4 linked regions of the Notamacropus eugenii genome follow. The protein of the gene in region 1 interacts with the protein of each later gene in a pairwise test. Links are inferred from orthologs where the notes say so. Each region holds a gene or a part of one and is shown in the gene's direction. Other genes may lie near its edges.

Region 1 (7,959 bases):
TTTGGATACAAAATAATCTGTCCATGGAAGATAAGAAATTAATTAGTTTCCTGCTGGGGGAATGTTCTCATGTAGATACTGTAAGGCTAAGTCTGTCCACTTCATCTCTTGTTCTTTGACGGATTCTGTTGTGCCACCATTGTCTTGTTCTGGTTCAGGAAGTTCATTCTGAAAATGGGAAAAAAAAACTCAGAATGACATGTTCCAAAGGAGCAAATATTTCATAAAATGAAAGCCAGAAATTCAACTAATAATCAACAAGCATTTATTAAGTGTCTACTACATGCTGGGCCCTGAGGACACAAAGAAAAAGTGAAAAACTTCCTGCCCTTAAGCAGCTTGTATCCTACAAGAAACATCTACTAAATGTTGGAGAAGATGGAACACTAATTCATTTTTGGTGAGGTTGCAAGCTAATCCAACCATTCTGGAGAGCAATTTGGAACCATGCTCAAAGGGCTACAAAAGTGTGCATACCCTTTGACCCAGCAATACTGCTTCTAGGACTGTATCCCAAAGAGATCATAGAAATGGGAAAGGGTCCCACATGTACAAAAATATTTATAGCAGCTCTCTTTGTGGTGGCTAAGAACTGGAAATTGAGGGAATGCCCATCAATGGGGGAAAGGCTGAACAAACTGTGATATGTGAATATAATGGAATACTACTGTGCTTTAAGAAATGATGAACAGGAAGACTTTAGAGAAGCCTGGAAGGACTTATATGAACTGATGTTGAGTGAAAGGAGCAGAACCAGATCATTGCACACAGTAACTGCTACAGTGTGCGAGGACTTTTTCTGGCAGACTTAGCCCTTCACAGCAATGCAATGACCTAAAATATTCCCAATGGACTCGAGGTAAAATGCCAACCATATCCAGAGAAAAAACTATGGAATTGGAACACAGAATGAAGCAGCATATTTTCTCCCATGTTATATTTTTTTTGTTTGGGTTTTTTTCATGGTTTCTCTCATTCATTTTAACTCTTAAATGCAACATGACTAATGTGATTAATAAGAATGTATGTGAAGAACCCATATAAGATTGCATGCCATCTTGGGGAGAGAGGGAGAGAAAAATCTAAGACTTATGGAAATGACTGTAAAAAACTGAAAACAAATGAATTAATAACAATAATAAAAAGAAACAACATCTACAAGGACATATCAGGTATGCAAAAGAAAGTGAAGACAAGGCCTCCTGGGAGTACGAGAGTCATTACTGATCATTTTACTTCTTTTGCTGCTTTAAGAGAGGTCCTTTTCTTTTTCTTGGTATCGCATATATTTGTCAAGGGTAAAATGCTGTAGAAGGAAAGAAGAATCAGCAATTTTCTAAGTCAGTGTTAATTTTATAGTTTTATAGGATAATTATGCGTTAAAGATTTTTTGGTCCAGTTAATGCCAGTGAAAAATACTCATTTTATGTGAAAGTCAAATGTACTTGAAGAAATTTTAAACACTACTAACTATTCACTATTAAAACCCTCTTCTGATGCTGGGTTGTAAGAGGTTATGTTATCTTCTAAAGGGTCATTCCCAGACTACTTCTTAAAGAGGCCTATTCACTCAATGGGCAGTACCTTCTTCTAAGTGAATACCTGAAAAGTCTGAGTTTCCCCACTGCATCCTGGGCCTTCTCTAGTCATCCTGATGAATATCTGGTCACTGGATCCAGATGGCCCAGGAGGGGAAGTGAGACTGGTGACCTTGCACAGCCCTCCCTCACTCAAAACAAAGTCCAGTGCAAGTCATGTCATCATTTCTCTGGTATCATGGTCTTCTTCGAAAATGAAGGATGAACACAACAACCAAGCAGGGAAGGCTCTGGGTACAGAGATGATAATACACTGTGTATTTTGTTAAGTGAGACCATTAAAGTTCAGAGGTGTTAATCACATGAAAGTTGGATATCAAATGAGGAACATTTTTTCAGACCCAGTGACTTACAAAGACAGTTATAGTATAGAAAAGCTGTGACTTACTTTGGTGAAAGGGGTGGAAGAATTCACACCTATAATGTGATGGATTCTGGATGTACTAATAAAGGTAGACAAACTTAGCTCAAATAAAAAATTAACACCAACAAAAGAAGTGTAAAGCAAATATATCAATAAATCATGGGTAGAAAATATCTGATTCACTGGCTCCAATCTGCTCTTGGGTTGACTTGAATTGGCCTAAGAAAAGTATTCTCAAATTCTGGGTACATATGTGAAAGTTTCTGAGATAGATACAGGTCTTTATCCTACACAATGGATATCCTTGCTTTATTTCAAGGGTTAAGCAAAAATGTTATTTCAAAGTGGGGTTTTTGAATGTTTTCTTTTAGGTCCTCAGTCCATTTTACCTTTTCTTTTTTGATCCTTAACTTAAGGTATATCTCTTTGTTATTTGTAGTTATTGAATAGTTTTATATTTTCCGTTCTTGATTTTTAAAAGTAGGTAACATGAACGTTGCATAGTTCCTTCAAAAATAGCTAAAGTTGTTTTTACCTGCATATGACCTGTGACTATTTCCCCTTACCATCCCCCCACCTCTTAACAGAAAAAATATTCTTCCACCTCTTTTCAATTATTTTCTTCTCTTTCAGTAGGTCCTTATGATATACATAGGATCTATCATAAGCCTTCATTAAAGTGAAAAATAATATAATTACAGTCTCTTAAAAAGTTGGAAGCAATTTTAGAAATTACTCAGTTTGGACCTGAAGTATGAATTACCCCAACATCTTTACCATCCTATAAAGAGTGCTATGGTAATTTGTTAAATTTTAACTCAGTAAAAAACAAACACAGGACTAAACTTAAAAGTCCAGGGACATCTACAAACGTGGAAGTTTAAGTCTTTTTTTCAGAAACTTGGTAGGTGTAGAGAAGAGAATAGAAATCTCTCAGAAAATCTTGGAAAGGTCTAGCATCAAAGTATGGAGGTTTACAAAGAGAATAACTGAATGACAGATGAAAGTAAAAGAAAGAAGAGAATATTATTTAGTTGTTCTAAGGTATGTTCTTAGCTCTTTTTAATTTTTTCCATTGATTTCAGTGGTTCTGACTCTTAATTATTCTTGACTTATCTCTATATAGTACATTGATAGAAGCACTAGACTGACATTCAGGAGATCTGTCACTAACTAGTTTTATGTTCTTAAGCAAATTACTTAACCTCTCTATGCCTTGGCTGATTTGCTTTGAAAGGATTGGAAGAAATAATTTTACATCCATCCCCTCCTCTCTATTTTTCATTGCTTCAGGTGGAGGGCCACAAAACTAGGAGGCCTAGATCAGCAGTGTGAAATTCAAACAGAAACAGACCTATTAAACTCTTAAGGATCCCTGTGGCTGTATATTGATTAGAAAACCACACATTAACATTATCTTTGTTCTACTGTATTTTTATTTAAGAACATTTCTTAATTAAATTTTAATTCAGGCCCACTAGGGAAGTATATTTGATAACTCTGGTCCAGATAAACTGCTCCCACTGTGAGTCATGTGCCCTTCCTCCTTTCTGCTTTTGCTGGGTTTGCTAATTAATTGTTACTTACAATGGTATACCCATTCCCTTATTCATAGCATGTTACCTACCAGTGGTATTGCAACGTCTTCATAGGGCAGCTTATCTTCTCTCCAAGCATCATCAATCAGATCCAGAATTCTTCCATCCCTCTGTACCTCACTGTCCATTCTTTTGTGATTTTGATTTTCTTAGACCTATGGCCTACAAGTTACAGTTCAGAAATTTGGTGATGAGTGAATTAAACACACACACACACAACTAGTTAATTTTCTGAATTAGTCCAAATGTACTTTAATTGTTTTGTGTCTGTGGACGTGGCCTGAGCTCAAAATAAACATAAATGGATGACAGCTGGCTGACAAGTTTTTGATTCTTTTTTAAAAAGAATTTTACTTCAATAAAGTAAAAGGATCCATTTTCAGTATTTATACCCAGATCAATGAAACCATGGATGTTTCAACTTTTTCTTAGCATTTATCTAAATTCTTGTATCCCACATTCTTTTCATTTTCTTCAAAGTGCTTGCTGCCCTCTTTTGTCATCTACTATTCCTCTTATCAGAATACATGTTATAAGTCATCACTGATTAATTTGTTCTTTTTAATTGTCACATACAGTGTAAGCTCCTTAAGTATAGATAAGGATCACTGATTTTCATCTTTGTATTCCTGACTGTGTGGCTGAGAACTTCCAGCAGAAAGCAGTGAAAAAATGTTTGAATTGTAATCTTATATGGCTATTGAATTCCTATCCTGAAACCTCAATTAGACCAGAAGCTCATTTAGAGCTGAGGCTGTGACTTAAAACAGTTTTATCACCCCTGAGGAAGCAGCACACAATAGGCAGATTTTGGCAGATTTTTACAAACTTTCAGAAATTTACAAACTCTGCTAACTTTTAGATTAGCAGAGGGCATGGCACATACTGCTTAATAAAAGCCCTGGGACTATGAATAGTTGTAAGTACTATACAAAATCAAGTAACAGAAGAGAGAGACACACACAGACACACAGACACACAGACACAGACATACAGACACACACACACAGACGTTCGTCTTACTGCAGTTTGGGACGAGCGAGGCCAGAAGAGAAAGGAGAGGGAGGGAACGACACTGCCCTCCAGTATCCTCCTTAGGGGACAGAAGGGTGGAAGAAAAGAGCCGAGACTCTCCTGGGGTGAGCACAAGGGGACAGGGGAGGTACAGCTGCAGAGCAGCAGCATACAATGTAACCAAACCAGCAGACCTGGAAAGAATGTGAAAGGGATGCGCATGCGCATGCTCCGAGTCTCGCGCTCGTTTCTCCGGCGATCATCGCGCAGGCGTGTTGGGGGAACCTCCGCTCCAGCGCTCTTCCGCCTTCAACCGCCGCGCCAATCTGCTCCTCCGCCAGCCAATTCGCCGGAGTCACGTGATTCGTAAAACCCTTCCCCTCCCACCGTTTAGGCCCAGCGAATGACAGTACTAGGCTGAGTCAACTCGATTACCTTAGGAAAGTGGGGAGGATGAGGTTGGTTCAATTCATTAAGGGGGGAAAAATTTTTTTTTAAAGTGGGGAGGGGGCGGAGGGAGGACGAGTGGGCGAGCGAGGAGGCGGTGCAGAAACGTCGGCGGCGGCGCGCGCGGCCGGGAAAGGTAACGGCGGGAGAACGAGAAAGGGGCGGGGGCGGACGCTGCCGCTGCTGCGGACGCCTGGCGGGGCTGGGTGCACGGCCTGCGTGGCCGCGGGGCTGAGGCCGCTGAACGGCGTCGACGCGCTGCTCCTTAGTCCGCAGGCGCGGGGTAGCGACTGCGCGCTTCTTCCCGGCGTGCTTTTCGCCTGGCTGCGCGCTGAGTGCGGCCCATGGCTCCGCAGGGCGCGTCGGCCAAGCCCGCCGTCAGGTGCCCGCTCGCCTTCCTCGGGTCCGAGGGCGAGTGCTGGCGGCTGGGGTTCGTTCGTTAGCCCGCCTCGGGCCATGCTTGAAGTGGGTTCCTCCACCTCCCCTCTAGAGGAGGCGGCGGTGATGGGGGCCACGTGTCCCCGGCGGGCGATTCAAAAGCAGTCCGAGTGCGCCTTGTGCTAGAGCGACTTAGGCCGAGATTATCCTCCTCCCCCTCCCTCTCCTCCCCCGCTGGCCCCCGAGAGGCCAATGGACCTAGGTCCGGGGTTCAGTTCAGTTCAGACGTTAAAGCACTTACTAAGTGAGGGCACCGTGCCAGGCGCTGGAGGTATTAAAAAAACCCATCAGCTGGGCAAGCCTCAGATTTCCCTAGCCCGCCGTTCTACAGGGTCATCAATTTGCTTCCACTTGGACCTGTCGCTGTGGGCAAGCCACTTCCCCGTGCAAAATGGAGGCATTCATCTCGGAGGATACCTAGATACTTTGTATCCCTTTGCTTGGCCTTGTCTCCCCTATTAGTTGTAAGATACGTGAAGACTGGCCCTGCCTAGCCTTTTTCTTGTATCCCCATTGCTTAGCCCAGTGACTTGGCACACAGTAGGTGCTTAATAAATGTTTGTTGAATTGACAAGTCATCTGATTTAATTGGTCTTCAGTTTCCTCATGTGTAAAATGAAGGGGGTGAGGGATGGGGATGCATTAGACCAGCTAGCCTCAGAAGTTCTTTCTCTCTCTATGAAATGATCCCATGACTCTAGAACCTCTAAGGTCCTTTCCAGCATGATTTGAGAAGTTTAGGGAAGGTACCCCCTCTGATTAATAAGGATGTATGTGGTGTCTAGGGAGGATGAATACTCCTGGTGTGAGGGCTGTCATCCAACTGTCACCTGTGGCTCCAAGAAGTTGTAGCATGTGCTGTGGTCACAACCCACTAAGCCAAGTTTAGAGTAACCCACTGCCCTGGAGCCCTTCATTAAGTTGCGGGGAGGGATGTCTACCTCACGCATGGATAGACTTCCCCAAGCAGATCAGAACATTTTGTTCCAAGAGCCATGCAAGGGCTGTGGAGTGCTTAGTGGTTGGTCAGACATCAAAGAAGCCAAGGTCATCCACTGCAGCCTTCCATCAATCTACTGATTTTTGTTTCTCCACTGAACTTCAATCGTTCTGGAAGAGAGAGTGAGGCTGACTAGCCCTCTTTGAAAAGGAAGGAGGAACAAAAACAGCATTTTGCAGTTGTGGTGCCTGAAGGGTCTATTAACCCTTTCTGTTCAGAATCCTGGGAGACCTCAGTTAAAGTGAGGATTTCTTCCTAAAGAGGATAGTACATCAAGCTACTTGACCTCTCTATAAATACTTTATTATGAGATTGTTGATCAGATCCTTTCCAAGATCCTTTTACCATGGGTATTTATCTAGACCAGGAGTGGTTTGAGGCCAGAGGTTTCCCACCTTCTGTCTAGACTAACCTCAGCCCTCCCTCACTCAAAACAAAGTCAAGTAAAAGTCATCATCATTTCTCTGATGGCATGGTCTTCTTCGGCAATAAAGGACAAACACACATCTCTTTTACAGAGGAACCTGAACCCTATGGCCCATTTCCCAGAATTTCTTTAGAAAAACCTAGTCATTTTTATAGCAACTTTTGTTTATTGCTTTTTAAAAAGATGACACCTCATCCCATGTTTTTCCTAGTTCTAGTGATGTTGTGAACATTTTCAGTTATATAAGGAATAGAGGTCCTTAACATGAAGGATTTCATGGTTAGATTTGGGAGAGTCCAGGAACTTGAATGGGAAATTTTTAAAAAAATTTTTACTAAGCAACCTATAATTGAAATTTAGGTTTTCTGTCAATTACACATGTAGGTAATAAACCACAGCATCATTAATAGTACTTGTGACTTTATCACTGGTAGAAATCACAAATATTTTTATGCCATGTTATAGTCATTGCAGATACTTTGGAATGTTATGTATGCCCACCACTACTTTGAAATTACTGTGGATTTCAAGGGCTTGTAGTCTTTCCTGTCTGTGGGCACTGGTGAGACATAGCTGGTGAACCATTGGAGTCTATAGTTTTCACCAGATTGCCAAAGGAATCTATGACACAAAAAAGTTTATTAACTCCTGCAGTAATTTTCAGTTGCCTGAAATAACTTTGAAGTTTAACCCCTTCCTCCTTCTCCCTTTCCCCCATTGACAATGGGAAAATTTAGTGAAAGTATTTTTTTTCTTTATTAAAAGTGGTCTGTTAGAGTAGAAATACCTGTATCTGTATAAGACCTTGCACACACTCATTTTAAATGTTAAATTACAGTACCAAATAATCAAAATTTATCCAAATTAGTGATGATGCTAAGTGCTCTACAGAATTTGGGTTTGTCTGAATGTTTGAGAAGGTACAATGGCATAGGTATTAAGTTGATACCAAATTGTTACATCTGCATGTATGAAAATTATAAGTAAATTAAGGCATTATGCTTTGTTAACTTGGATTATAGTGACCTCATCAGGTCAGTATTGTGCCTGAATTCAAAAGAATTGCTTTTTCA
Region 2 (7,422 bases), on another chromosome or scaffold:
CAATATCAATTATACATGTGAAACCATTCAAAATATATTTCCATATAAACTCTATTTTAAAAAAAGCAAGAAAAATAAGGAAGTGAGAAAATTATATTTCAGTTTACCCTCAGAGTTCATCAGTTCTCTCTCTGGAGGTGGATAGCATTTTTTCATCATGAATCCTTCCAAATTGTCCTGGATCATTGTACTGCTCAGAGTAGCCAAGTCTTTCACAATTGATCATTATTGCAACCTTGTTGTTACTGTACACAATGAGCTCTCAATTCTTCTCACTTCCAGTTGCATCAATTTATACAAGTCTTGCTATGTATTTTCTGAACCTCCCCCTGCCCCTTATCATTTCCCACAGCACAACAGTTCTCCATTCCAATCATACACCACATCTTCGTCAGCCATTCCCCAATGGGTGGGCATCCCCTCAATTTCCAATTCCTTGCCACCACAAAAAGAGCTGCTATAAATATTTTTATACATGTGGGTCCTTTTCCTACTTCTTTGATCTCTCTGGGATACGGACCTAGTAGTGATATTGCTGGATCGAAGAGTATGCAGTTTTATAGCCCTTTGGGCATAGTTCCAAGTTGTTCTCCAGAATGGTTGGATCAGTTCACTAGTCCACCAATAGTTCATTAGTGTTCCAGTTTTTCCCACTTTCCCTCCAGCAGTTGTCATTTCTGATAGGTGTAAGTAAACACTTGTACCTCAGAGTGGTTTTAATTTGCATTTCTCTAATCTGTAATGATTTAGAGCAGGGGTGGGGAACTCGGAGCCTTAAAGTGGATCAAAAATCAATAGGATTTGTTTGGTAAAATTTGTATTCAGTCAAAGAGCTACAATTAAATATTTAGAAGGCCACATGTGGCCTTAAGGCAGGTTTCCCACCCCTGATTTAGAGCATTTTTTTGTATGACTATAGATAGCTTTGATTTCTTCTTCTGAAAACTCCCTGTTTATATCCTTTGGCCATTTATCAATTCAGGAACAGCACTTTTTTTTAAAACATTTTTCTCTAATTAGATGAAAAAATAATTTTTAACATTTAAAAAATTTTTTTGAATTCCAAATTCTCTCCCTCCTCCTCCAAGATGGTAGGTAACCTGATATAGATTATACATGAATGATACTTATTTTTATAAATTTTACTCAGTACTATATTCATAATATATTTGAGAAATGAGGTCTTTATCAGAGAAACTTACTGCAAAAAATTTAATATTACTTCATTGTCAAGAGTACCTTTTAGCAAAACATAGTTTCCCTGATTATCCCTTGTAACTAGATATGCTTTTGCTTTTGCTTTGTCTGAGGTCAGGATTACAACCCCTGACTTTTTTTTTTTTTTTAGTTCAGCTGAAGCATATTAGATTCTGCTTTAGCCCATTATTTTAACTCTGTCTTTCTGTTTCAAGTATGTCTCTTGCAAACAACATATTGTTGGATTATGGTTTCTTATCCATTTTTATCTACTTTATTTTTTATCTTCCATTTTATGGTTGCGCTCATCCCATTCACATTCACAATTAGGATGACTACTTGTGTATTTCCTCCATCCCATTTTCTTCTGTTTCTTCTTTTCTGTCTTTTTATCTTTTTTATCATCAGAAGTCTATTTTGCTTCTCCCTTAGTCTGCTCTCCCTTTTATCATCTCCTGTCCCCCTTTATCTCATTCTCTTCCCATCTTTGAACCAATTCTGATGACAATGAGGTTCAAGCATTGCCTGCCATTTTCTCTTCCACTGTAGTAGCTCTTTCTGGTGCACCTTTTCAGGTGAGAAATTTTTCCCCATTCTACCTTTCTCTGCCTCCTTTTCCTAGTGCATCTCTCTCATCCCTTCATTTTTTTTGGAGCTCATAATCGACTCACTTCTATACTGTCTATGTAAACTCCTTTTAATTACCCTAATAATGATAAAGTACATATATTATCTTCCTGTATAGGAATGTAAAGAGTTAAACTTTATTGAGTCCCTTATGATTTCTCTTTCATGTTTACTTATTTATTCTCATTTTCTCTTTGAATGTCAAATTTTCTACTCAGCTCTGGTCTTTTCATCAGGAATGCTTGAAAGTCCTCTATTTCATTAAATATCCATTCCCCCCCCCCCCCCAAGGATTATATTCAGTTTTACTGTGGTTGTAATCCTATCTCCTTTGCCTTCTGGAATATCATATTCCAAGCCATCCACTCCTTTAATATGGAAGCTGCTAAATGTTGTTATCCTGACTGTGGCTCCACGGTATTCGACTCTTTGAAGTATTTTTCTCCTTGATCTGGGAGATCTGGAATTTGGCTATAATATTCCCGGGAGTTTTCATTTTGGGATCTCTTTCAGGAGGTGCCTGGTGCATTCTTTCCATTTCTATTTTACCCTCTAGTTTTAGAATATCAGGGCAGTTTTCCTTGATACTTTTTAGCCACTGGAGTTTATTGAGTGTGTGTATGCATGTGTGTGTGTGAGACAGGCACAGAACTCATCTTTTCCCTCAAACTGTCCCCTCAATAGCCAACAATAGTCAATAAACATTTATTAATGTTTAACTACAATTAACTACAATGTGGCAGTCATTGTGCTAAGGGCTGGGGCTACAAATAGCCCCCCCCCCAAAAGTCTCTGCCTTCAAGGAGTTTACAGTCTCATGGGAGAAGATCATATCCTAAAGGAAACTGAAAAGTGAGAAGAGGTAAGTAAGGTTGGAGGGAGGGTCAAAGAAGTCCTAAAGGAGAGCAACCAGGTGGGAAATGAGGTGCTTGTGCTGAGTTCTTTATTAATTGGAGATTTTGGAGTTCATGGCTCTACCCTCCAATAAGTGGGGCAAAAGGTTGTTGCCTTACCCCATTAGATAGGAAGCGCCTTGAGAAAGCAGGGATTGTCTTTCTTTTTTCGTATTTGTACCCCAGTGGGGGGACATGTAGGTGGGTACAGTGGGTAGTAGGGCACCAGGCCTGGAGTCGGGAAGACCTGAGTTCAAATGCAGACACTGAGTTCAAATCAGACACTGAACCAGCTGTGTGACCCTCGGCAAGTCACTTCACCCTGTTCGCCTCAGTTTCCTCATCTGTCTAATGAGCGGGAAAAGGCAAAGGCAAGTGACTTTAGTCTCTTTGCCAAGAAAACTTCAAATGGGGTCATGGACAGTCAGACACGACTAAGCTACGACAATTCCTAGTGGGAAGGCTGAGGGGTGACTACCAAGGCTTTCTACCAAACTTTGCTACTTCTGTGGAAGCCACCCTCAGTCTCCCAACGAGCCAGGTTCCTTACCTAGGTATTATGCTCCACTTCTCATTCACCTTCGTGCTGACACACGCAATCAGAGGCCAGGTCTTGCCTTTTCTTTTACCTCCCACTGCGTCTCTCTACCCACGGAGCTACCACCTTAGTTCACGGCCTCAACACCTAGACTACCGCAGCAGCCTCCGAAAAGGCATCTCCCCACTCCAGTTCCTTCCACGCCGCTGCCAAAGTAATCTGCCTTTGGACTGACCACCCGACTCGTCCACTTAACACCGGTGACTTCCTGTTTCTAGGCTGAAATAGAAAGCTTTCTGTTTAGCTTTCAGAGTCCTTCCCCACGTGACCTGAGCTGGTCTTTCTCGGCCGGCTTGTACCTAGGGATGAGAAAGGGGGGCTTCCCGGAGCTTTCCCAGCCTCGGGGCTGGCTCCCAAGGATGGGGATGCTTGGTATGGGATAACTCCCTTTCTCCTCCAATGGGCGTCTAACTTCGCCTACTTACTAGCCACTCCCGGGCACTCCTGCCCAGTTAAGTTCTGGCTGCTAGGCAGAAGTGAGGAACAGCATCCCGGAGGCTGGAGCTCTTTGCCTCGGTTTCCCCGGATTTCCCCCTCCCCACTGCTTCCTAGCAGTGGCTCCCACATTTCCCTGAAGCAGTTTGCAAGCGTCCCATTTGGTGGGGATCTGTGTGTGTGTGTGTGTGTGTGTGTGTGTGTGTGTGGCATCTGTTTTCTTCTTTCTAAGTGGGAGGTGGCCCGCGGGACAGGAAAAGCAGAGGTATTACGGGCGGGGTGGTGGTGGGGGCTGGGGATCTGGGTTCTCGGCTCTGTCCGCTGGGTGAACTTGGCGCGAGCGGCTTCCCCGGATTTGCCCAATGAGACTAATGCCCTCGAGCCAGCGGGCAGGTGGCAGATCGCTGGAGAGAGGCGCCCAGGCGGGAGAGGGAGGGTGGCACCGTCCGTCCCCGCCATCCATCCCTCACATCCTCCCGGGCCCTCCCCGTCCTGTGGCCGCGGGCCCCGAGAAGCCAATGGGGAGCCGGCGTACAGCGGCGCACATCTGGGCCACTGAGCTGGGCGCCGGGCGGCCAATCCCCGGACCCGGCGGCTCGTTCCTCCTCCTCCTCCACCTCCTCCTCCTCGTCCTCCTCCCTCCCTGGCGCGGAGAGGCCGGGTTGCAGCCAATCGGCGCCGCCGCCCGCGCCGGCCCGGCCACCCCAGCCCCGCCAGCCAGAAGCCCGGCCGCCGCCGCAGCGGCAGCCCCAGCCCCGGGGCGCAGGACCCCGGACAGCCCCGCCAGCCGCGCGTGGGACCCAGCGCCGGGTGAGGACGGGAGGGCTCCCAGCGCACGGGGAGGGGCCGGGGCGGGGGGCAGCCAGCTCGGGGTGGTCCCTGTCCTTCCCGGAGGGATGCTCGGAGCCCGAGCCGGCGCAGACAAAGGGGTGAGGCCCGAGAGGGCCGAGGTGGGGCGCCTCCACGTGGGGGCCCCCACCCCGTGCTCGGTCACGGTCACGGCCGAGGGGGCAGCCGGCTGGAGCTGCGGCGCTCCGCGACGCCGGGGGTGGGGAGGCAGGGTGGGTAGAGGTGCCCGCCGCCCTAAGTTCGCCAGGCCCCCGGTGGCCCCGCCGACTCTGGTCGTTCAAGGTCCATCCCTCCCCGCCTCGGCCTCAGCCCCTCCCTCCAGTGCGTACCCAGGCTTGGCCAGCAGGGGTCCCGGGTCCTGGGCAGCCCGGGAGTCTGGCCAGGGGACAGCCCGCCTGCCTACCTCCCGCTGGTATCACTTCCTGAACAGCGGGGCTGGGACCCAGCACCCAGAACCCAGGGGCACAGGCACGGCGAAGCAGGAGCCCTCTGTCCTGAGCCCTGGCCTCTCCCCATTTGGAGTCGAGGGCACCTCCGAACCGGCCCTACTGGCCAGGATGTTCCCCTTCACTGACAGTTTGTTTTAAAAGCTCAGATGCCACCCTGCCATGGGGAGAAGGACCTTTTCTTGAAGGCTCTAAGATAGCCAGGCAACTTCCCGAGCCAGTCCTGATAGTGGGGCAGAGGTTTGGGATCGGGTCCATCTTTTGTCAGCCCCTCCCGGCTCCCTCCCCGGTGTCCTGGGCCCTGGAAGCCTTTCCTAGTTTCTCCCCCTCCCGCCCCCTTCTGTCCTCATCTTAGCAGCTGGGTGTTTTCACAGTTCCACCAACTTCCTCGCGGTTCTCACCTGTCTCCCGGCCAGCCACACCTCCTGCTTCTGTCTCTCTTTCCTAGCCTCAGGCCCCCACCAAAGTCAAGAGAGGTGGGCGCTTTAGGTCAGACGCTCAATAGAAGGCAGAGGTACAGCCCTGAAGCCTCGGTTCCCTCCTTTATATATAATGGATAGATGGGTCTTGGAAAAACAGAATGTTTAGCCATTCACCTCCTGGATACCGAACTTTCCCCTCCTGGCTATCTCACTTGTTTCTAGGGATGCTGGAGGAGAGCTGGGTAGACAAAAGAAATGTTCCTAGAGGGTGGACTGGGTGGGGGTGGAATATCCCTTTTCCCATGGAACTGTTATTTTACTTTGGACATTCCTCATCTTAGGTGGGAAGGCACTCAATGACTGGGTCAGAGTCCTTGCCCCATCATTCTTTTTGCCTAATTTGGGAAGGTAAATTTACTTACTTATTAGTTATCAAGGTGATCTACAGACCGTTTAGGGGTGGGCGGGGAGGGATCTAAAGGTGAGCCTCAATCTCAGGGAATTTACCCTCTAGATGGAAGGCATACAAGTGCAGTATTTTAATACTTAGGGTTCTAGAGATGCCTTATGAGGGTGGAGAAGGTGATGCAGGGGAGTAGAGTGGGCTCTGGGCCTTGGAGGCAAAGGCCCTGAGTTTCAGCCCTAGGTCCATTGCTAGCTGTCAGTCACCTTGTCACTTAAATATACTAAGTCACTTAAGTATGCTAAGCTAGTTTTCTTCATCTCTTTTTGGATACTTTTAAGGGTCTGTGAGATCCTGAGTATGGTTCTGGCGTGGATTTAAATCCTTCCTTTCCTTCTTGGGTGACTCTTGTCTGTGTTCCCTGCTCTGGAGACCTTAGGGTCATAGACACGGAGATTTAATGCTGGAAAGGGGTTCAAGCCCTTCCTTTTGGAAGTGAGGAAACATTTTTTTCTCCTGGTGCTGCTCTGGTTTCTCTTTTTCTTTCTTCTCATCTGTAAAATGAAGGCAATTAAACTTGTAGCTCTGGGCTTGTGGTGGGGGAAGTGCTTTGGATTAGCGTGTGGTGCTGTCACTTTCTGACTTCTCTGCCCACACAGCCACCATCCTAGTTAAGGCTCCCATTACCACGCTAGCGCAGTGGCCTCCTCACTAGTCTGCCTGCCTTCGCTCTCTTTCCTTTCCAGTCGAGGCCCAAGCCAGACTGTGAAGGTCTTTAGATGCCAAATGGAGGAGTTTGAATTTGGTCCTAGAGGAAATAGGGAGTCACTGGAGTTTCTTGGGCAGGGATAGACCATGGTTAGACCTGTGTTTAGTGAGACCTCTTAAGTGGTACTTATGTGGTACTCTCTCCTGTCCATTATCCCTGTTTAGCATTAATAGTAATTATGCTAACGATAATAGCTAGCATTTATACAAGAGCAGCTAGATGACACAGTGGTTAGAGCACTGGACCTGGAGTCAGGAAGACTCCTCTTCCTGAGTTCAAATCCAGCCTCAGACACTTACTAGCTTGATGACCCTGGGCAAGTCACTTCACCCTCTTTGCCTCAGTTTCCTCATCTGTAAAATGAGCTGCCAAAGGAAATGGCAGGTCACTGTAGTGTATCTGCCAAGAAAACCCCAAATGGGGTCATGAAGAGTCAGACATGACTGAAAAATGACAACAAAAACAAACATTTTTGTCGTGTTTTACATATGTTATTTCATTGGGTTCTCATAATAATCCTGTGAGCTACATACTGTTAATATATCTGTTTCACAGATGAGGAAACTGAGACTGAGAAAAGTTAAGTGACTTGCCCAGGGTCAAACAGATAGTATTTATTCTTAATCTTCTTTTCACATCTTCCCCCTCCCCTGTCAACTGGAATCCCTAATATCCTTCAAATCTCAGCTTGTCTCACCTCCTGCATGAGGCCTGTCCATAATTTCCTCCCACCCCAAATTACTCTGTATTATTGACTTTCCTGTACATATTCGCCCCAACAGA
Region 3 (7,573 bases), on another chromosome or scaffold:
ATGGAGTGATTCATTCTGTGAATGGTTGACTACACTTCTAAAAAAGAAATAATAAAAGTTTTATTTCTAACTTGTAGCAAGTTGGCTCTTGGTTGGGTCTTTGTAAGAACAGCATGGTTAATTCTTTATGACTTTGGCTGTGTCTTTGGGGATCATGGTGTGGAGTCTATAATATAATTATAGTTAAGATGGTCAGGATTCTTATTCTCTGATCTTGGGAAAATTGCTCTTTTTTTTTAGTTTATCAACTGTTTAGCTAGGTGTCAATAGCTGAGCCCCTTCTGTCCACCTGGGGGGTGATAGAAGTAGTTGATTGTTAACATAGTATTTTATTTGGTAATTGCAAGGTCACTTAGTAATCTTTAGACATGTCAAGTGGATATAATTTATGTAAGTAGATCTAGAACTAGAGGCCATCTAGTTAAATCTCTTTATTTTATAGATGAAATAGGTACAGAGAGATTAAATGATTTGATTTGCCCAAGGTTACACAGGTAGTATCAGAGGTGAGATATGATCTCAAGTTCTTTGTCTCTAGATCTAGTGCTCTTTTCACAGTACTACTCTTCCTCTTTTTTACAAATAAGAAAATGGAGATAGGGGCAGGAGGAGATAGGTTTTTGATGCTCACTGATACTGAAGATCACACAGAGAGAAATCTATTGGATAGATGCAATTGCTGATGGAATAAGCATATTTCTTTGAAGTAGTAGTGAGTTGATTCAGTTTTTATTCAAGTTCTTACCTGATGTCTAATTTTCCTCCAGGTCTGACCTTATTTCAAGATGTGAGCCCATTTTCCTTTTCTTTTTAATTTGTGCTCTATATAACTTTAAAATGAAAATAATGAATATGAATTAGAATTAGGACAGAAGTCCTTGATATCCCTTATCTATAAAAAGTCAGCTGTCTTCCAGACAATTTCAAATGAGCCCTGGGGGCCTTTCCCTGGGAAGAATATTTTCCGGAGTTGGGCCAGATAAAGTTACCCATAGATGGCAAAAGGAAAGGTGGTGGAACTAAAAGCAACCCAAGGAGTGATGTGTGGAGAGGATCTGAGCAGTAGTGGATTAACATCACTTTATAAGGTAGGTATATTCTGAGTTCACTGATCAGACCTTATAGAAATGAGAACAAATCCTAGATATTTAAAAATTCCACATCAGATCTGGATATTTTTCTTTTCTCTTTTCCATGTCCTTTTAACCACCATCTTGAGCTCTAGCTTCCTAAATGAACCTACTAGAAACAAGGGGCCACGCTGTATATATAACTAGTCATACTTTTCAGACTACTTTGTTAACTTAAAATATTTCCCTTTCCATTAAACTCCTACTTGATGATGGCATGGAAGTGACTGGGTTCTCAAATGCATCTTTCCTCTTGCGAGTTCAAACTAAATTAGAAAGACCTACTGATGGAAATTTTATGTCTTATCTAAGGACTAGCTTAGCAAAGTTTGGAGAAGCTCATCACCAGGCTGGCTACAAGATGACAAAATGTTTTTACCACCACAACTCTTTAAAAGAGATTTTACCGTTTCTTTAGAGAGGTTCCAGTATGTTGACAGAGGAAGCACCCAGGTGATAGCACAGTTCCTCTATATATGTCTCTCATCGTGATATAATAAACTGATGTTCTGGTTTATTTCTCCTCTTGTGACTTTTATCAATGTGAATTAACTAACTGGAGCCTGATTACTCAATGAACTGATTACACTGAGTTTTTGATACTGCATTTTTGAAAATAGGAGCCCTGAGCAGAGGTAATAAAGGCAACCCTAAGGCCTTTCTCGAACCACCTTCAGATTGGCCACTAGGTGGTAAATTCTTCAGCCTCAGTGACCAATAAAACAGATAAAACTACAAAATGTCCCTTGGTCCCATGTATAGCCTACTCCTGCCCTGGTGGTGACAGTGGGAGAAAAGAAGCCAGGTGGTAAGAGTCTGTTGATTGGCTTTTTTTTTAAGACTGCCTACAAACATTAATTTATCTGTTGGTATGGTAAACATGAGACTTTCTTCCAACAACCAGTGAATTGATAGACTACTGAGGAAACTACACCACATAAAACCCACACTGTGTTGGGTAGATGCTCTGGAGGATATCTGGAAAAACCTGGATGAAATTTTACACAATGAAAAGGCATTTGGAGGCAGTGAAATTCAGTGGTGGAAAGAATGAGGACCCATACTACCAAACTCAAAATGTTGACTTGTGAACAAGTGTGACTTTACCAGCCCACAAGGCTTCACAATATTCTCTCTCAGGAGATACTTTGGTTAGTGAAATATAAGTCAGCATTCTCTTACACTTGCCTTCAAATAACTTGTAATAGTTCCAGGTTAAGAAGCAAGTGCTTTTTGAGGGTGGAGCATACATTAAAAAAAAAAAAAGAAAAAAGGCAATTAGTACTTTCCCCTGATTTTGTATGTATTCATCTGAAAAAAAAAATGTACTTGGCCAGAACTTGATAAAGCCTGTAAGATATAAAAGCAGTATAAAGTGTATTCCATTAAATGAGCTCTTCCACGGAGATACTTTGATAATCTGCTTAGACATTCCTCCTAATAAATAAATTCTTGTTAAATGAATGGAAATTGGAACTGCAGATGTTGACATAGATCTTTTAGGAAAACCTTTAAAATGCTTAGTGTTAAATTGTGAGGTGGTCATCAACTGATACTGATTTACCATTTTCCAGGTAAAGCCTTAGTTAATATCTTAACAGGAATTAGATTGCGGTTTCTGTAATCACTATAGTGACTGTCCAGTATCGAAGCTTCTAGGCTCCTTTGTATTTGGCATTAGTAGTTGGAACCCCACCTCACTGCAAAACATTCATGAGGCCAGGGTGTTTTTCAGTGGGAGACAAAGGCATAAAAAGGTTTTTATAACTATCCCTCCATAACTGAAATTAAATGCATTCCTTACTGGTGGAAATTGGTATTCTCATTCTAGGTAGCTATAGCTTCCTGTGACACGGATGATGTTAGCCATTTTATACACTGAGCTGAATATTTGATTAGATATTTTGTTGCTGCCAGAAGTGGAAAAGGATATTGAAAGGATCAGCTGTTAACTGAAATGATTCCCCTAGGGAGAAATCCTTCAGCTCTGGTCTTCTCTATATAAAAGGTTTCAGGAAACATTTTGCCCTGTTGCCCCATTTTTCTGAGTCTGCAAAGCTTTTTGGGAGTGGCCATCTTTTTCCTTTGGGATGATGGCTTCCCCTGGAAAAAACATTTCCCTCCCCGAACTGTATGGTACTGGGAAGCTAGGAATCTGGGCAGAGCTTCCTAAGTCAAAGGAAGGAACCCGCCCATCCGAGTACGGGGAGCCTCCGAGCTGGGCCTGGACCAACGTTGAGCGCAGAGCCAGTGCCTTGAATGTTTATTTAATGAACACGGCTGCAGTCTGATGCGGCTTTGAGGCTATCCACCTCAGCACTGCAGATCTCCTTCTCTCTGACAGCATGGTAATTAGGTTTTCCCACTGCTCCTAAAGGCTGTTTTCTTCCAGCTCCTGTTTTTAGCAGAACTGAGGGGGGGAGGGAGGGAAGCATACTGCAAATCTTCCTCCCCAAGGGAGGGATCTGGAAGCCTTGGAGTCTACGAAAAATAATGTCTTTTAAAATATCCCCCCTATATATCTCTCTTTTGGCTTACAAAAGATTTTCACACGTATTGATCTCATTTCTTACCACATCTGTGATGTAAGCATTGTCCCCATTTTACGGATGAACATTCTGAGGGGATCGCCATGTTAATAAATGGAAGGCTTGAACAGAGGTTTTAGGATTCCAAATCCAACGTTATTTCCAATGTACCCTGCTGCTGTTTCTCAGGAAACAACCTGCCGTGTGCTCCCTGCCCTCAACCTCCTAGGGGAACTGTCATTATTAGCCAAGGTGGCAGGTTCTCTCTTCCCATCTGTCCTCGGGTCTCCGAGGTTCAGACCCCGGCTATCTGCTGTTTTTAAATGCGCTTCTGACACGCCGACCCGGGAGGCTGCGGTTCTCACTCTCGGTTTAGCCCCGCGTGTCTCGGCCCCGTCTCTCCCAGGAGGTGGGTGCTGCAGCGGAGGCTGCAAGGGCTATTTTTACTGGCCTGAATGCCTGCGGGACCCCCCGCCTCGGCACGGGGGAAGGGCAGGAGCGCAGGCACGCTCCCAGCTACAGGAATCAGGGTGGGACGGGGGCAGTGCGTCCAGGGGTCCTGACTGCCCACCCTAGGACTGGACGTTCTCTACGCTTACACCAACTCGGCTCTTTGCCCTTTCGCAGCATCTCTGCAAGGGGTGGGGTGGGATGGAGGCTGTGCAAAGGGGCGGGGGCAGCGGGGAGAACGGCCCCACCCTAGGAGCGCCGAGCCGGGCTCGCTCTCGGCCCCCACCCGCTGGCGTCTTCCTTTCTCGTTGTACTCCCACGCAGTTTGCTCCGCAATCCCCACCCCCCTTCGGCTCCTTCCGGAACCTCTCGGCCCTTTCCGCTCCAAACAGCTGGGGCGAGGCCCGAAAGCCCCGCCCCTTACCCCTCCTCCCCGCCCCTTGCTGCGTGATTTCTCCTCTTCGCCGCTCCCAACTATTCCTCCCTCCCCCCTCCTGCGCGCTGCCGTCGGGAGCGCGCCTGGGCTGCTTATAAAAGGATCCGGGGAGCGCGCGCTGCCTTCACTGGCCGCGGCGGAAACGAACGGAGCAGAACAGAGCCGAGCCGAGCTTTTTATCCCCTCCTCTGTCCCCGCGAACCCCACTCCCCGGCCCCAGAACCGGTGAGAGGCATTGGGGTGCCCCTCAACCCCCAGGGCCGGGCGAGGGCGGCTTCCTCTTCTGCCTCGGAGGCTGGCCTGGGGAACCTGGGAAGCCCTGGGGGTGGGGAGACGGAGGTGGAGGTGAGGGTGGAGGTGGGGAGGCACACCCTAGCGTTGGGGGGGTGCACGGGACCGAGGGGACGCTGGGAAGGGAAGAGAAAGGGTCCCCGGGAGGGCTCGAGGCGCTGGGCTCCCTGGAAGGGGCGGGGCGGAGACCGGAGGAAACCGACAGGTGAGCTCGGGCGGGGGCGGCCGCCCAGAACCAGCCGGTCCTCTCCGGAGCGCGGGGCCCGCGCCCGGCCCCGCCCGCGCCCCCGCATCCTCGCTCGGGGGCCGGGGGCCCGCGGGGGAGCGCGCGGCCAAGCCTCCCCCGACGGACGGAGGCAGGAATGTCATTGAGAGGATCGCCGGCCCAGCTGGTCCCATCCCCCTCCCCGCCAGCCCGGCCCCCGCCCCAGCCCACCCACCGCTCTGCTTTCTCCCTCCCTGCCTAGGCTGCCGGATGAACGTGGCTGGGGGTCGGGGCAGCTTAGACCCCCTCCGAGGAGGCGTGGGGGTGAGAGGCTCCTGTTGGGAAGCCCCCTTCACCGAGTCCCCAGCGGGTGAGAGGTCAGGGTTGGCGTGCGGGTCCTTGGATGGAGGGGAGATCGAGACAAATCCCTCAAGAACCCTTGACATCTCTGCCCCCCTTCCCAGTTTGCATCTTTCTAGCCCTTAACAGACCTTAGGAACCATTTTTTATAATTCCACTAAACATGCCTTTTTTTTTTCCAGCTCAGCTGTGGTTTGTCAATCGAGTTGGTATCATGCAAACATTTATAATTGTAAAACCGTTCAAATAAAACCTTAATAGGTTAGAAAGGTTTTTTTTCCGTTGTGCTTGGGATTCATAAGATACTTATTTGCCTTTTTGTATCAATTTCTCATTGAATGGTGGAGCCGTTGTTTGAAAATAATCCCTATGGTGAATTTTTTCTAAAGATGTTTTCTTTAAAGGTCTGTAACTCAAGAGTGTAAATTGCCTCTTTAAAATCTGTTCTTAGGTTTAAAAGCTAAATTTGTAAGTAACTGGGCAGACTTTGAAAGCTGGGATGAGGTGAATCAACTTGAAAAATAAGCGTTTACATAATGAATCCTGAAATACTTAACGCTCTTTGTTCTACTATCGTCATATTGAAAAAGCCCAAATTCAGGCCTTTTGAGGGAGAATAGAAGAGAATTCGAGTGACAGTTTACCAGTATTTTAGTGATCTATTGAAAAAATTGCCGTAAGCAGGGAATGCAGGTTTAAATACATCACCATATTGTGGGTGGGGAAAAGAGAGGACAGAAAAGCACAAAGGGATGGGAGGTGATTTTTTTACAGAAAGAAAGTGATGCATATTATAAGAACAGCACTGTACTTGTCGCTGAGGTATGTAAAAATCATTGAAGAAGTAATTGGTTGTCTTGTCATAAGTTTTTTTTTTTAATTTTTAACTAAAGTTGTGCATTTTGCAAGGTCAAATTGAGGCCAATCAGAGAAAAGATCATACTGCAGTCAACTTCTTACTGCAGGAAATTAATTCTTTTTTTGGTAAGTGGATCAATAATTAGCAGAGGGACGCTTAAACTGTGTTAGATGTTATCTAGGGACCTTGCCAAAGTCAGGAAAAGAATTGAAGGGTGGTATGGACAGATGTAGTTTCTATTGGACATTTTTTAATTGACCTAATAGGAAAATTTAATTTATTCGTCAAGTTGTAACATCTTCCTTTCAGACTGACAAGCCATTTTAAGTAATGGATATTATTTGCTCAAAATGGCTTTATTACATTCTGGTTCTTTGGAATGAGCCTTGTGAAAGGGAGGGGCTTATTGCAGATACTGGGAGTTGGATAACTGGGAGAGGTCCAGCACAATCCTCCCATTGCTGAACTTGTGTCAAGGGCAATAGGCGTCCAGTAAGCCTGCCTGCTGGACTGACTGTAATCAATCCTTTCTGAGCTATGCAAGGATTGTGCTAGGTATGCACTCAACTGCAAGGGTACATCTGCAGCAGTTAGCCCTGTACAGTAGCTTGGAATGCAGTGCCTTGATGGTAAATTCAGAGTAAGAGAAGGCAAAAAAAAAAAACTCAAAAAACTCCTACAGCTGATGATTTGATCACGCTTATACAGTACAGCAGCTGTTCCCTCAAATAGTCATTTCTCTTCCATGTTTTTAGTGTATTCCCTTTGGACCAGTTTTTTGTTTTGTTTTGTTTTTAAACAGGAAATGATATTTGGGAGAAGAAGCTCAGACTTCATCTGGGCTCATTTCAATGGATTGGGTTATGATAGTGTATAGAGATAAATACCATAACATTTTTTGCTTAAATCTTTGTTTTTTCTTGTTCAGGATGTGTTAACTAATCATAGAGAATGAAACACTCTAGAATATAGGAAAGGGAGGCTCACCTTTCCTTAAGGAACCTTATTATGTGTAGTTTGAAAGTAATCAGTCACATCTTTATTAAAAAAAATAAATAAAAGAGCTGAATAAAAGGTGAAATAGGGCTTGCTTTTAAAAAAATAAAATTTAGCATTGTGGCAAATGATATGCTACATTAATTCTTTAAGGCATGGGGAAGGAAAGAAAAGAATTCTGAAGTTGAAATTTACCCAAATGGTTTTTATAGATCTCTTTATTTTACCCTGGTTGTTCAGTTTGCCTTTAGCAGTATATTATCTTGCTCTTCCCCCTCCCCCTTTAGACTGCATTCTTCCATCATGTTGTCATCGTTT
Region 4 (7,023 bases), on another chromosome or scaffold:
AGCTGCCTCACAATCTGACTCTTTCCTGCCTTTTCAGTCTTGCTACACTTACTCCCCTTCTTTTTTAATTTTTATTGTTGAGTCCTGTCTGACTCTTTGTGACCTCATTTGGGGTTTCTTGGCAGAGATACTGAAGTGGTTTGCCATTTCCTTCTCCAGTTCATTTTACAGATGAGGAACTGAGGCAAACAGAGGTTAAGTGACTTGCCCAGGGTCACGCAGCTAGTAAGTGTCTGAGGCCAGATTTGAACTCAGGAAGATGAGTCTTTCTGATTCCAAGCCCAGTGCTCTCCATCCACTGAGCCCCCTAGCTGCCCTGTTCCCCTCTATGTACTCCAAAACCCAGCTACTGTAGCCAGCTTGCCGTTTTTCACAAACCTCCCTCTCTGGGGTGTGCTTATTTATACTTCCTGCCCAAGGCATGACATGACATTCCTCCTCAATTCTGCCTTGTAGTTTCCCTAGCTTCTTTAAAACTCCATTCTTTTTTTAGTGATAGAAGTGAAGGTGGGGGTGAGAGAGGTTGGACAGACAGAAAAGAGATTTTTGTTAATTAAAAAAAATCTTAAAAACAACATTTTGCAAGAGATCTTTCCTGTTCTCCCCACTGTTAAACCCATTTGTTTCTTTTAGGTTTAACCTTCTGTTTACCCCATACATATCTTGCAGTAACATGCATGTTGTCTTTCTCATTAGAAAGTGAGCCCCTTAAAGGCAGCAACCATTAATCAATAAACATATATTAAAGTGCCTACTATGTGCTAGGTACTGTACACCAAACCATGTTTTTGGATTTCTTTGTATCCCCAGTACCAAGCATATAGTAACTACATTTAGTTTGAGCCTGAGTTCTGAAGGGCTTTAAAAGCTAAATAGAAGAAAAATCAAATTTATATTTGATTTTAGAGTTAATAGTGACTAGGGGAGTGGCATGAGAAGATTTGTGCATAAGGAAAAATAATTTTGGCAGGAGTATGTAAAATAGACTGAAGTGGTGAGGGACTTGAAGCAGGATGACCAGCCGGGAAGTTGTGGCAGTAATCTAGTTCAGAGTTTATGAGGCTTGGACTAAGATGGTTACTGTGTAAGTAGAGAAAACAGGTCAGATGTGAGAGATATTCTTAAGATGAAAATGACAGAATTTGACATCTGATGGGATATTTTGGGTGAAAGAGAGGGACAAATCCAGGATAATGCCATGGTTAGGAACCTAGGAGATTAGTGGGGGGTGGGAGTGGGTGTTATACCTTCAACAGAAATAGGGAAGGTTGGAATGAGGGAGGATTTGAGAGAAAAGAGAAATAGTTCAGTTTTAAGATGTGTCATTTGAACTGTCTTAATGACATCTAATTTGAAATACTCCATGAGCAGTCAGTGCTTGGGAGCTGAAGCCCGAAGCAGAGACTTGGGCTGTATATATTGATCTGGGAATCATCAGTATAGAAGTGATCGATAGTGTTATGGGAATTAGTGAGGTCACCAAGAGGGAGAGTAGAGAAAGAAGAGTAGGGAGCCTTGTGGGATACCCACAATTAGACGGCTTGATCTATATCAGAAAAGACCCCATTGGAACAATCAGACATGCAGGAGGAGAACCATTTCTTTCTTATTATTTGGTGGTGGAGGGATGGACTTGTGGTTGGTGGAGAGAATTGTGAGCATGACTGCATAAAGGTCCAAATTGGTTCCAGAGATTTTGGGGAGGAATACTTGAACAGAGGACAACCTAGGAAGGTGGTGAAGAGAGAAACCTTAAAATGATGGACGTGCAAAGGAAACCACTCCAATCCTGTTCATGGACTTGCTTGAAATTTCAGAGGCAGATGAGAATGCGTCTCCTCTGGATGAGGTCATCTTTTCTTGTTTGAGCTGAGATCTTTTCTTGCTCCCACCTATTACACTCCTGTGTATTCTTTGGAATATTCTAGTTTGTATAACTTTCTATTTCTACTTGCAGTCTTGCTTGGATAAATGGGTTTACTTAATATTCACTGTTTGGGATGGTCTTTTGTGTAATCAGTGTTTGATAGAAAGAAGTTGGCCAGTGAGCATAAGCTAAAGGCAATCAGGGAGAGGGCTTTTGTTCTGAATCTTTTAGACTACCAATATTTGAGGGAGGCAAATGGATATAATTTTAGCCTAATACACTTTTTGGAGATCAGAAGTAAGAGTGCTCTCCTTTCAACAGTCAAGCCAAAGCGCAAATCATATCTATCCATACCACCTACAAACTGCATCCATGGATTTAGACAATCCATGTGGGTACTTACAATAAAATTAGAGAAAAGGTATAAATACCTTAATTCTTTGTCCACACAAAAATATTTCTTTTATTTCCTCAAGATTTTTGTCTGTTTTGAGATTAAAACTTATTAGATCATGCAGTGTCCATGCTCAAGGCAGAAAGAGGTAAAATTGACTTCAAGTCAAATGATAAAGCACTGAAAAAAATCCTAAAATTTTATATTTAGACAATCAGAACAAGGATTAATTCTTAACTGTACTATGGATACAAAAAGGATTACCAAAAGGTAAAAAACTGTCACATCTCTTTTGAGAAAAAATCATATCATCATGCATTTGATCCAAGGGATCTAGACATAGAAATCCAGCCTTGGACAGATACCCTCTTGAGGCTTAAGGATAACCTCTAGTTTTCCACCTCAACCATCTTTTCCTTACTTGTGGACAAAATGTTTCATTGTTGTTTTGCTTGGTCAGAATCCTTGGTTTTAAATGTCTCTTTTCCGTGCAGAAAATGGTTGTCCCATACCAATACTACTAGCCAGCATTTGTACAATGTATTTGAACTGATTTATAAAAACCTCCCAACTCTGGGCAGTAGGTGTTATTATTATCCCCATTAAATTTACAGATGAGAAAACTGAGGCTGGGAGAGGGTGAGTTGCAAGTGATAAGGAAGGATGTGAATTCAGGTCTTCCCAATTTTAGGTCTAGAACTCTTAAGCAGGGCTCCATCCAGCACTGAGTACCTTTCAGTTCCTTCTTTTGGGACTACACTCCACGGAGCTGAACATACATTTTCAGTCATTTCCACTCTCTAGGTCCTCCATAATCTTAGTTCCTTCTTTCTGATAGTACCCCTACTTTACCATATATGCATATATATGTGTATCTATAGGTACAAAAGCAGCTGTTTTCATGTTTTCTCCTCCACGACTGTGAGCTCCTTGAGGGCTGGGACTGTCTTTCGCTTGTCTTTGTATCTCAAGTGCTTAGCACAAAGTAGGTTGACTGACTTCAAGGAAGTCAAGAAGTTGGGGGTAAAGATCCAGAGTTTGAGGAACCCCCCCCAAAAGCTAAAAGAGCCCGATTTCCCCATTTCCCACTCCGTCTTGCCCCAAGGACTGAACCAAAATCTTATTCGTGCCTAGACTTTTAGGTGTCTCGTTTTGGGGCCAGAGGCTCTGCATCCCCGTCGTGGGTGATTAGTAAAAGTATATCCAGCTTTATCGTCCTGGGCAAGTCATTTCCCTCCTGGAGGCTTCAGCTGCCTCATCCATAAAGTGGGTTCCATCGGGTTTGCAAAGTGCTAACGTACACATGCCGGCCAGCGTCACTGAATCCCTCACCCCAGGAGGGGCGGAAACATCAGAGAACGCCCTCCGGGACACCGGGCTGGCCACCAGCGCCGGCCACCAGCGCCAGGCAGAGGTCCCAGCCCGCTCGCGTCGGGCTCCCAAGCCCAGGGCCAATGACGTCTTCCTGGGCCCAGGAGCGCATGCGCTCTTTCCTCTACCCTCCGGAAAGGGGGGTGGGGAGGAAGGGCCTGCGTCAAGTTGAATCACACCCTCACGCAGAGCAAATCCTTCCGCCTCCAGGACAAAAGAAAAAAGAATCCCGAGGCTTCCCGGCCCGACTCGCGCCAGTTCCCGCATCCTTGCCCCGGCCTCTAGACGCCGGCAGGCCGTAGGGGTGGTGGGGGCCGGGGGCCGGGGGCCGGGGGCCGGGGGCCGGAGCGGGAGGGCGGCGGCGTCTGAGGCCGGGACGCGGATCCCTGCGCGGGGGCGGGGCAGCGCTCCGAGGGCCGCGCTCTTCCTCCCCCTCCCTCGGTCCCCGGCGGGCGCTCGGACGCCGGCGCTTGGCTCTCGCCTCGGCTCGTCGTCCCTGTGCCCTCCCCCTCTCCTCCCCCGGCGCCCTATGGCGAGAGGGAGCCCCCTGCCCACCCCGGCAGGAGGAGCGGCACGGGCGGCCTTGGGCCGGGGGGCGCCATGGGCCTGAGGCGGTGACGGGCACGGACCGTTGGCCCCCGCGCGCCGGGCAGGATGAGGCGGTAGCGGAGCCCCGGATGCCCCCAGTCGCCAGCGTGAAGCCTACTGCTCTGCCGGGGAGGAGGAGGAGGAAGAGGAGGAGGAGGAGGAGGAGAAGGAGAGGAAGGTGAGCGCCCCCCCCCCCCGCCGCGGTGTAACGGACCCCCTCCCGCGGTCACGCCCCCCGGGCCGAGCAGCGCTGGGCCCGGGGGGGAGGGACCTAGACCCGCCCCCTCCCCCCGCGCCCTCCCTCGGTGGTGGTCTCCAGCTCCTGAAGTCCGGGACCCCCTCAAAGTCTGCTGGCTCAGGGCACCCCTCAAAGTCTGATAGTCCCGGGGGACACCCCCAAAGTCTGCTAGCCCCGGGGCACCCCCAAAGCCTGCTAGCTCGGGGCACCCCTCCCAAAGTCTGATAGTTCAGGGGGTCCCCAAAGTCTGATAACCCCGGGATACCCCCAAAGTATAGTGGCCTCGGGTCACCTCAAAGTCTGATAGCTCGGGGACCCCCCCCAAGTCATTAGCCCCGGGGCCCCCGCTGGCGGTCGAGGCAGAATTGTTTGCGCCCGGGCTCGAGGGGGATCTCCCCTAGGGCAGGGGCTGCACCCCCCCAGGCTCCGGGTCCGGGGCTTCCCTGAGTGGGCCGTGCCCTCTGTGCCCCTGGTCCTCCAGCGGCGTCCCCCTCGGACGCAGCCGGGGTGGGGGGTCTCCTGCCTTTGTTTCCATCCCAGGGCTTGGCACCAAGCAGCGCCCGCCTGCCTCCGACCCCCCTTGGTCTTTAGACTCTGGGCCCCCCGCACTTGGCGCGTTAGACGCCTCCTGCGTGCTTCTTGACTCGAGTGGGAGCCCGTGATCGCCCCGAGAGGGGCCCCGACTTCTCCCGTCCGGGCCTCTGCTCTTTGCCCCTCGCAGGGCGCGCACGGCTGTCCGGCCCTCCTTTGTGTCCGCGCAGCCCAGCCCGGGCCGGGCTCCAACTTCTCCCGGGTCTGCCCTAGCGTGCGCGCGTGACGATCGCGGGCCGGAGCGGCCGAGCGTGCCGGGCCTTTGTTCCCTGCCTCGGAGGAGGCCGCCCTTTGGTGCCGTCTGGTACCGGGCGCTGCACGCCGCCGGCGGCTGCGGGCCTCCTTTTGTGCGGGCAGGGACTATTTTTTAGGGGGAGAAGGAGGAGGACGAGGAGGAGGAGGAAGGGCTTGCCTTTGTATGCTGGGCGCAGGCTTTGCGATGGACGCTTGTGGCCCGACTTGAGGACGCGTCTCCCTGTCTCACTAGGTCCAGACCGGGCCGGCGGTCCATTTTGGGCGACGGTGCTACACCGCTGGTGCCGGTTCTTTGTGCGCGTATGCCCCATGAAGGAATGCTCACTGTGTGCCCGGAGCTTTGGCACCTCCTTTTTTGGGGGGGAGAGGAGACAAAGCCTTGCAGGTTGAACTTTGGTTTGACCACTAACACAGTCTGGGCCTGTGATTTTTTTTGGTGAAGAAACTCCCTCAACCCATGCAGGTTGGCACCTTCTCCGCAATTTATAGTCTCTGGGGATTCTCAACCCGGTGTCTGTGAGCTTTTAAAAAAAAATTTTAATAACGATTTTAGTATAATTGGTTTCCTTCGAAATCCTACATATTTGATATTATGCATTTAAAAACATTCTGGAGAGGTCGTAGGCTTTACCAGACTGCCAAAGAGTCCATGACCAGAAGGATAAAGAAACCGGCTCCTAAGATGATTGTCTAGAACATGGCAAAGTTGAGTGACACGGTCACAGAGATGGGACTTAAGCTCGTTTTCCTGACTTCTAGACCGACTCTCTATTCACAATGTCAGGCTGCCTTTCTTATGACAACTGAAGATTTCATAAACACTAAACCTTTGGAAAATTAAGAAGGAAAGAAGCAAAATGTCCAGTATTTATTAAGTGCCTTCTGTGTGCCACATGACAAGGAAGGCACACAAAAGCCCAAACCAGTTTCTATTGTGAAAGCAGACCCTGGTTTCTCATAGGAGAAATCTTAAAAATGATATCTTAGGACTTTTAGTCAGTGGGTGAACAAACATTTACTTGAGAGACAGCATGGTGTAGTGGCATAGTGAGCTGGCTTGGAAGCCAGGAAGGCCGGGGTGTAAGTCTGGCTCTTTAAACATAACTGACTGTGATTCTTTAGTGGTCACAACCTCCTAGTGCTCTAGACAACTCTTTAAAGCTATAAGCTGTAGAGAAAGCACTGGTCTCCTTCACCTGCGGAGTTCCCCAAACCAGTGAAACCACAATGCAGTCCTTATGCCTCTTCCTGTTACTGATAAGACTACCCTAGGTGTGCCTGAGATAGAAAATTGATGACCGCTTGCTCTCCTGAAGATTTTTGTTGTGCTGAGGAAATGTTTACAGGTACAAAAATATGAGAAGGATATTATACATATGCAAAACATTCAGTGATGTTTGAGAGGGGTACTAATTACTTAAGAAAGGCCTCTTTAGAGGCTCATAGAGAGAGAGGACTCTGGGGCAAAGAGAGCCTTGGAAAAGGCATTGGTGGTGATGTGGGAAACTCCAAGTAGTACCTCTGTTTAGAGCAGAGAATTTCCAGGGTAGAAACAAATTCTAGTGGCCAAAAGGCCTTGGAGGGGTGGTGTGGGAAGGGGAGGGGCAGCTGTGTCTTCCTGTTGGCCATGTATATGAGTAGCCAGAGGGCTTTAAAAAAAAAAAAATCTTCTGGCAAATCCTTACTCCTTCCTACCCCCTTTTAGGGCCCTAACATTTT

Evidence for each region.
Region 2: the proteins of CEP63 (region 1) and CAMKK2 interact in a two-hybrid assay, tested with the Homo sapiens proteins (2 studies listed by BioGRID and IntAct). The link is inferred for Notamacropus eugenii from reciprocal best matches to the Homo sapiens genes CEP63 and CAMKK2.
Region 3: the proteins of CEP63 (region 1) and SPTAN1 interact in a two-hybrid assay, tested with the Homo sapiens proteins (2 studies listed by BioGRID and IntAct). The link is inferred for Notamacropus eugenii from reciprocal best matches to the Homo sapiens genes CEP63 and SPTAN1.
Region 4: the proteins of CEP63 (region 1) and CCNI interact in a two-hybrid assay, tested with the Homo sapiens proteins (2 studies listed by BioGRID and IntAct). The link is inferred for Notamacropus eugenii from reciprocal best matches to the Homo sapiens genes CEP63 and CCNI.

What each region holds. Positions count from the first base shown.
Region 1 is NC_092876.1:333,964,398-333,972,356, reverse strand, and holds the start of CEP63 (centrosomal protein of 63 kDa), read left to right. Parts: upstream 1-4,947; 5' UTR 4,948-5,027; coding exon 5,028-5,032; exon of another isoform or gene 5,033-5,157; intron 5,158-7,959. Other genes in the region: ANAPC13 (anaphase-promoting complex subunit 13), read right to left, coding at 43-168, 3,590-3,688. UniProt on the Homo sapiens protein: Required for normal spindle assembly.
Region 2 is NC_092875.1:36,536,021-36,543,442, reverse strand, and holds the start of CAMKK2 (calcium/calmodulin-dependent protein kinase kinase 2), read left to right. Parts: upstream 1-4,416; 5' UTR 4,417-4,560; intron 4,561-7,422. UniProt on the Homo sapiens protein: Calcium/calmodulin-dependent protein kinase belonging to a proposed calcium-triggered signaling cascade involved in a number of cellular processes. Isoform 1, isoform 2 and isoform 3 phosphorylate CAMK1 and CAMK4. Isoform 3 phosphorylates CAMK1D.
Region 3 is NC_092872.1:479,856,261-479,863,833, forward strand, and holds the start of SPTAN1 (spectrin alpha chain, non-erythrocytic 1), read left to right. Parts: upstream 1-4,559; 5' UTR 4,560-4,769; intron 4,770-5,335; exon of another isoform or gene 5,336-5,410; intron 5,411-7,573. UniProt on the Homo sapiens protein: Fodrin, which seems to be involved in secretion, interacts with calmodulin in a calcium-dependent manner and is thus candidate for the calcium-dependent movement of the cytoskeleton at the membrane.
Region 4 is NC_092878.1:149,075,111-149,082,133, forward strand, and holds the start of CCNI (cyclin-I), read left to right. Parts: upstream 1-4,012; 5' UTR 4,013-4,398; intron 4,399-7,023.